2 linked regions of the Cricetulus griseus genome follow. Each later gene encodes a partner of the first gene's protein in a complex. Links are inferred from orthologs where the notes say so. Each region holds a gene or a part of one and is shown on either strand. Other genes may lie near its edges.

Region 1 (3,745 bases):
GGTGTTGGCCCTTGCCTTCTACCTTGCTGAGCCAGAATCGACCTTGTTATTCTGACAGCACTGCCTATCCCAGCTTGCCAGCCTACAAGCTTCCAAATGATTCTCCTGCCCCCAACTCCCACCTCAATGTGCTAAAATGCCAGATGTGCATTTTATTTTTATTATTTTTATTATTATTATTTTTTTTTTTTTTTCGAGACAGGGTTTCTCTGTGTAGCTTTGGAGCCTATCCTGGCACTCACTCTGGAGACCAGGCTGGCCTCCAACTCACAGAGATCCGCCTGCCTCTGCCTCCCGAGTGCTGGGATTAAAGGCGTGCGCCACCAACGCCCGGCAAGATGTGCATTTTAAAAACATTATACATAGGTGTGTTTAATGTGTGGTGGGGCAGATATTCATGAGTGTAGTAGAAAGTCTGATCCCCTGGAGCTGGCCGCATAGGTAGTTGTAAGGCACCTGACTTGGGTGCTGGGAATCATCTCTCCCTGCAGCTTTTTAACATAGGTTCTGGGAACTGAACTCAGGTCATCAGGTTTGCACATCAAGTGCTTTTACCCACTGAACCATGCCTCCTGGGCCTAGTTTTACATCTGTGGTTATACAGATACGATAAAATGCCATACAACTACACTCACGTCATGCCAGGATCAGTTGCCTGGTTTTGATAATGTACTACTATAGGTACGTAAGATGTAACCATTAGAGAAAACTGTGTGAAGAACATACAAGACTTCTCTGCTGCTTCCTATATGAATCTGCAATTATTTCAAAATACAAAGCATACATACATGGCTTCATATATTAGAGCTTGCACCCACAGTAAGTTAGCAACTCATGAATACAGGGGAAAAATACAAACTACCATGTATCACATGATCTCAATTTTTCTACAGGTTTGAAAACTTCCCACAAGTTTAGAAATTTTTATAGTATCATTACCAAGTAAATAATGGTACAATTAGCATACAGTTATGGCAAAAGGCATAACTGGATATCACGGTTGACTAAAATCTGGAAGATAGTTAAGTCGCATGTTGTATTTCATTTATACCTACATATGCCTGCACCATGGGCCCGACTTTCCCTAGTCACAAATATGGGCTTTGTCCACGGTTACTCCATGAGACAATGGCAGAGTCAGAATACAAGTTCAAGCTTAGACCTCATTTCACACAATGACTCTATCACCATCTCCCTGCAAAGAGGATACCAAGAACAAACATCCCAAGATATGCAATGGCAGCCCATGCCTTTAAATCCAGAACTGGAAGGAAGTCAGAGGGAAAAGGATCTATGTAACCTGTGAGTCTGAGGTCACCTGAACTACATATTAAGTTCCAAGTTAGCCAGGGCTACATGGTAAGACTATGTTTTTAAAAAACAATACAAAAACCATACAGATAAATATTATCAGGGGATAAAATGGATACTACTAGATTCTGACACTCACTTTTGATTGGTCAGATACCGATCCCAGCCACGGATAATATTGCCATACATTTGAGTGTCTTCCAGGTAGCTTCCTTCAAAAGCATAGATCTGTCTCTCCAAGTTTGCAAGTGTTTCCTAAGTGATGAAAAGAGGGACATGGCGAAGCAAGCATTAACCATGAGCAAACTGAGATCTGGATACAGACTTGTAACGTCAAGCTTACCCACACTAAACCATTTTTGTGGAAGAGTGGAGGTGATGGACCCTTTTATAAATAAAATGGAATGTGAAGCCTGTCCTCAGAAAATGCACACACATGCAAGATTTTACATCTACTTCGTGAGCAGAGATGAGAGAGAATGTAAGCTGTCTCTATTTTCACTCACTAAATGTGTCGCTGCCAGCAGAGACGAGGGTGAAGAGCTTTTCAAAATCATCTTTTCTACATTAACTGCTCCCTCCCTACTAGCTCTGGAAGGGCCGCCCGCAGCGGATGCCGGTTGCTATGGAAACCTGGAAGGGCAGCTTCAGGTGAGCTTTGCCTCCCGGATGCTCGCAGCAAAAGGCGGGAGCCTGGAGGGTTGAGCCACCAGGGTGCCGGCGGCTCCGGGTGCGCGTCACCATTCCAAATTCCCTAGACTGCGTCCTGCGCCTCCGGCCAGCCAGCCCCCTTCCAGGCATCCTCAAATACACCACATTCTCCGGCCATTGAAACGTGCCGCCCGTGCAATCGGCCGCGGGTACCCACCCGACACGCTCCCGAGTCCTCTCCAGGCCGGGGTCTAGCAGCCTCCTTCCCACCCGCTAAGCCCGGCCCGAGCGTCGTCCCCGCCTCCTGCCTCTCGCCCTTCCCGCGCCCTCGCCGCCCCCGCCCGCCCGCCGAGCGCAGGCCGGGAGCCGCGCCGCCGCAGGGAACCGCGCCGCGCCCGGCCGCCCAGAGCTCCGGGACTCCGGCCGCCCAGAGCTCTCGCCTCCGGAGGGGCCTGCGAGGCCAGGCGGGGACAGCGTCCCGGCCCCGGCCACTCACCGCCAGCTCCTGCTTCCGCTTCACCAGCTCGGCCAGCTCCCGCCGGGTGTCTGGGATCTGCGGCGGCGCCGTCTTGTTGTGCATCGCCATGTTGGGCTCAAGCGGCGGCGGAGGCGGCGGCGCGCGACCGGTAGGCGGACCCTGCGCGCTACCGCCGCCGGCCGCCAGGGGGCGCGCCGCCACTGCGCCTGCGCGCGCGGCTTCCGGGCCGCTGGCGGTCTGCGCGCGCGAAAGCAGGCGCAGAGTGGTGCTGGTCCGTGTGGGGTCGTCCTTGCTGTCCTCTTCCCACTGTGAGCCCCTGAGCCTTGCAGACACCCACGGACGCTCACTGCATCCAAAGTCCAGCTGCGGCATAAGCCTGTTAAGTATCCTATGTGCCTTGCCTCAGACAATGCCCTTGCCTCACCACCCCAACTGCAGGTGGGAAATCTGAGCAAGGTCTAGCCCCACCATCCTGGCTGGAGAGCAGATTCCTGGATGGTGGCGCATGCCGTTAATCTCAGGACTCCAGAGGCAGAAGCAGGCTCATCTCAGTTTGAAGTTAGCCTGATCTACATAGAGTTCCAGGCCAGCCAGAGATACAATGTGAAACACACACACACACACACACACACACACACACACACACACACACACGTTTCAAAAGATAGTCGTTGTGAGGATTGTGAATCAGCAGAGCCTAATGGCTCAGGCCTGTAATGGCAGCAGCTCAGGAGGTGAAGGTAGGGAATCATGAGTTTGCAGCCATTATGTTCTACATAGCAGAGACCCTGTCTCAAAAATAAATTAAGGCTAGGCTTAATGGCTCATGCCTTTAATCCCAACACCCTGGAGGCAGAGGCAGATGGATCCTTGCTGCCCTGGAACTCATTCTGTAGACCAGACTGGCCTGAAATTCAAGAGAGCCACCTGCCTCTGCTCCACTAGTGCTGGGATTAAAGGCTCATCCCACCACCACCAGGAGACAAAAGGATCTTTAGCTCTGCTTGAGGCCAACCTGGTCTACATACGGAGTTCCGGGTCATCTGCCATCCAGAGCTACATAGTGAGACCCTGTGTAGGGAAAAAGGGCCAGCCAAAGAAACACACCATAAGCAGAGTCAAAGAAACACACTTTGGCCCTAGAATCAGAGGCAGTGAAAAAAATATGCCCTGGCTCTGAAATTAGCACCAATCTATTCCTGACAAACTAAGCAGAAAACCAACCAATCCCTGAGCAGGGAAAATGAACCAATCTCTGAGCACAAGATCTAGCCAATCTGAGCTCAAGGGACTGAAATCTGACCA
Region 2 (3,745 bases), on another chromosome or scaffold:
ACAATGTCGTCGTGACTCCGGTCAGACACCAAGCTGCCAGTCATGCGTGGTGCTGACGGTATTCCATCTGAACTGTCCTGAGAGTCCTGCCCAAGGCAAGTGAGAAATGGTAGATTCTTCTTTTGGGGGGGGGGGTCAAGACAGGATTTCTCTGTGGCTTTGGAGGCTGTCCTGGAACTAGCTCTTGTAGACCAGGCTAGTATCAAACTCACAGAGATCCACCTGCCTCTGCCTCCTGGCTAGAGAAATGGTAGGTTACAGCAGACAGTTGAGCAGAACATGGCTCACAACCCTGCCACAGGTTCCTTTCTTCAAGTCTAATATCAACTAAGGGGAAAGCATCATAATGCTCATTTTCCAAAATAAACCAAAGGAAACTGGTACTATGATAAAAATTACCCAATAGCTAATGTACCTACCACCTCATGTTCCTCTCTTGAGCCTGCAGGACAGTGGGATGGGAAAGCCTGTTGTCCCATGACTTTCCTGGGGAATCTGTCTATCTACTCCAGACAGACAGAACAAAGACCAAAGAAATGACTCCACCCAAGTGCAGACTTCTTTTTGCTCTCTTTGTCTCTCTCCCCCTCTCCCTAGTATTTCTCTGTGTAGCTCTAGCTGTCCTGGAACTCACTCTGTAGACCAGGCTGCTCTAGAACTCAGATTCACCTGCCTCTACCTCCCAAGTGCTAGGATTAAAGGCATGTTCAACTACTGCCTGGCTTGTTTGCTTTTAAATTAGTCACTGAATGAACTCTCCTTGCTCAAGTCCATCCCCTTGCCCATCTTTCTTCTTCCTCTGCTCCCTGAGACCCACCTCATCAGTGCCCAGGCAATTAGATTTCCTCTTCCGTCCTGGTTGTGCTGCCACTGCCCTACGGGCTGATCCATTCTGTGGATAAGATGAAAGAAAGGGTGACTGAGATGAGCCTGAAGGAGGATACTAGACAGCAAGAAAGATGAAGGAAGGGGAAGAAGACTGGAGGGACGGTCAAGGAGGCTCAGTAGTTTAAGAACCCTGGCTGCTCTTGCAGAGGACATGGGTTCCTTTCCCAGCACATATGGCAGCTTACAATCAACCACCTCTAACTCCAGTTTCAAAGGACCCAATATCCTTTTCTGGCATGCAAGTGGTACACATACATAATGCAGATAAGACACTCATAGGAATCTTTAAAAAAAGAAACTGGAAGACTAACCTGAGGGAAAACTGAGGCTGGGGCTGACTCGCTGGGCACTGGAGTTGCTGGTGAAACCACTTCCACCTTCCGTTTCTGCAGAGAGAAACCAAGAAAGGTGGGTCAGAAGGTAGAGAAGGTGGGACCTGAGAAGAAAGCAAGGTCCCTGGAATTGCTGAGGGTACCGTTGAGCGGTGGTTGGGTTGCAGGCAGGAGCTGGAGGAGAGCGGCTGGTCGGGCTCGCCACCGGGAATGGCCTCCCGCTCCTTGGGCAGGTTGAAGCGGAGAGTGATCTGGACCGGGATTGGCAAAGTCTTCCCGCTGGCCTGGGCGGAGGCCGGCTGTAGAGATAGGTCCAGAGTCTTCCTCTGGGGTGGGGATGGTGGTGGGATGGCAAAGGGGCAGATGGTCCCCTCAACATGGAGTGATCAAATCCCACCCTTTGCCTTCTCTAAAGCAAGGCAATAGTGGACTCTGGAAGCTACACCTGCGATTTTAGCCCCCATCCTTTGCAAGCTGAAGTCATGGCATGAGAATATTGCCTCCTGCTCATTTGGGAACCCCCGAGGCCAAGAGATGCAAGAAGGAAGAGGCAGGAGAGAAAATGTGAAATGGGGGACCTACTCACCACCTCTCTTTCAGGCGAGCCGGGGCGGGACCCAGGAAGTCCGTTCTTGGTAGGGGTCTTAGCCTCTTTCTTGGGGAACTGTATCTTCTTTAAGTCCAGCCTCTCGTGAGTCACCCATTCATCCAGACGTTTGTTGACTGCAGCAGGGGAAATGGCTCAGGAGGGAATGCCAGAGGATGCCCTCAACCCTATCCAGCAGCCCCACTTAGCCCGGGCCCAGGACTCACAATCAATGTAATGGACATAGAAAAGCTTCCGGCCACTGATGTCCTTCACGCTCAGGATCTCAGCCAGGGCTACGGGAAGAACACAGACAGGGGGTCTTAGCCGAGCCAGGTCATGAGACTCCACCCTTGGACCTGGACTCCACCTCCAGGCTGAATTCCTATGCCCCAGCACCTAGAAGGTTTGGCTCAAGACCTCTTTAGTCACCAAGTGACACCTCTCTCCAAGCCCCTCCCGGCTCATCTCCGTACGGTTCAAAGCCACGCCCCTCCTTCCGAGTATCTGCGACTGCCCCAGGATCGCAGAAGCCCCTCCCCCTCCCGTGTTTTCGTTGACTCCCGCCCCTCGCCCTCAGGTTCCTTGGACCCGCCCCCCGACGTCACTCACGCCACTCATCTTCGTTGTCCTGGTTGCGCCGCAGCACGGGCAGGCGGCAGCCCTCGATTATCTCCCCCTGGGGAGACAGCGCGGCGCCAGGGTCGGCTACTGGGGGGCCTCGGGCTCTACCCACCTCCCCTGGCTCCCTCCGCCCCGCCCCGGGCACCGGACTCACCACCTCCGCCATCTTCCCTCCCTCCACTGCCACTTCCGGCCCCTCTGGGAAACGTCACTTCCGGAACTGAGTGCGCTAAAGGCCGGAGCCCCTCGAAACTGCTTGAGAGGAAAACACTTGAGTTACTGCTGTGTGGCTGGTAGCAAGGGGCAGGCCCATTTTAGCAATGGGGGAGCAGGGTGTTGTAAGCCCGAGACCGAGTAATAGATAGAATCCCCACAACTCGCACAGTGATTGGAGGAAAACCGAGTCTGTCACGTGACGCCCACCGGGTGCGACGCGGGTCACGCAATGAAGTGCTTAGGCTCTGACCTGCGGCTTTGTTCGGGCGCCTCGTAGTGGCGGCGGGAAGCGTCGCCCTGAGTGAGAAACTGGGAAGTGACTTCTTTTTTTTTTTTTTTTTTTTTTGGTTTTCCGAGACAGGGTTTCTCTGTGTAGCTTTGGAGCCTATCCTGACACTCGCTCTAGAGACCAGGCTGGTCTTGAACTCAGAGATCCTCCTGCCTCTGCCTCCCGAGTGCTAGGATTAAAGGCGTGCACCACCAGCGCCCGGCTGAAGTGAGGTTTTGAACCCTCACTGGGCAGTCAATGGACCCGAAGACATTTGAAGACCCAGCCACGTGCTTGCACAGCTTTGTACAGCTGTGTGGACTTAGCAAGATGTGTTTAATTTTGTATATTGGGTTTCTCTTTTTTAAAATAATATAAGGCCGCTGGTGGTGCATGCCTTTAATCCCAGAACTCTGGAAGGCAGAGGCAGGTGGATTTCTGTGAGTTGGAGGCCAGCCTGGTTTACAGAGTGAGTTCCAGGACTACACAGAGAAACCCTGTCTCAAAAAAAAAAAAAAAGTATATATGTGGCGCTATAAACGAAGTAGACTGTAATGACAGTGAAGGAGGGGACTTGCTAGGGAGAGAGAGCAAGTAGGCAAAGAGTAAAAGCTTCCGCCAGGCGGGGGTGGTGCATGCCTTTAATCCCAGCATTCAGGTGTCAGAAGCAGTTGTTTCTGAGTTGAAGGCCAGCCTGATCTACAGAGCCATCTCCAAGACCAAGGCTACACTACACAATGAAACCCTGTCTTGAAAAAAAAAAAAAAAAAGCTTCTGTCTTCCATGTCCTTATATAGGCTTCCCCCAGAAGGTATAGGCAGAAGGCATGTC

Evidence for each region. The genes of interacting proteins can lie anywhere in the genome.
Region 2: Meaf6 (region 1) and Kat5 share a complex: the UniProt entries of both Homo sapiens proteins name them as parts of the nuA4 histone acetyltransferase complex. The link is inferred for Cricetulus griseus from reciprocal best matches to the Homo sapiens genes MEAF6 and KAT5.

The regions. Positions count from the first base shown.
Region 1 is NC_048595.1:27,970,389-27,974,133, forward strand, and holds the start of Meaf6 (chromatin modification-related protein MEAF6), read right to left. Parts: upstream 2,614-3,745; 5' UTR 2,549-2,613; coding exon 2,459-2,548; intron 1,567-2,458; coding exon 1,451-1,566; intron 1-1,450.
Region 2 is NC_048596.1:53,746,806-53,750,550, reverse strand, and holds the start of Kat5 (histone acetyltransferase KAT5), read right to left. Parts: upstream 2,612-3,745; 5' UTR 2,597-2,611; coding exon 2,419-2,596; intron 2,103-2,418; coding exon 2,034-2,102; intron 1,944-2,033; coding exon 1,807-1,943; intron 1,547-1,806; coding exon of another isoform or gene 1,520-1,546; coding exon 1,364-1,519; intron 1,275-1,363; coding exon 1,200-1,274; intron 893-1,199; coding exon 818-892; intron 87-817; coding exon 1-86. UniProt on the Homo sapiens protein: Catalytic subunit of the NuA4 histone acetyltransferase complex, a multiprotein complex involved in transcriptional activation of select genes principally by acetylation of nucleosomal histones H2A and H4.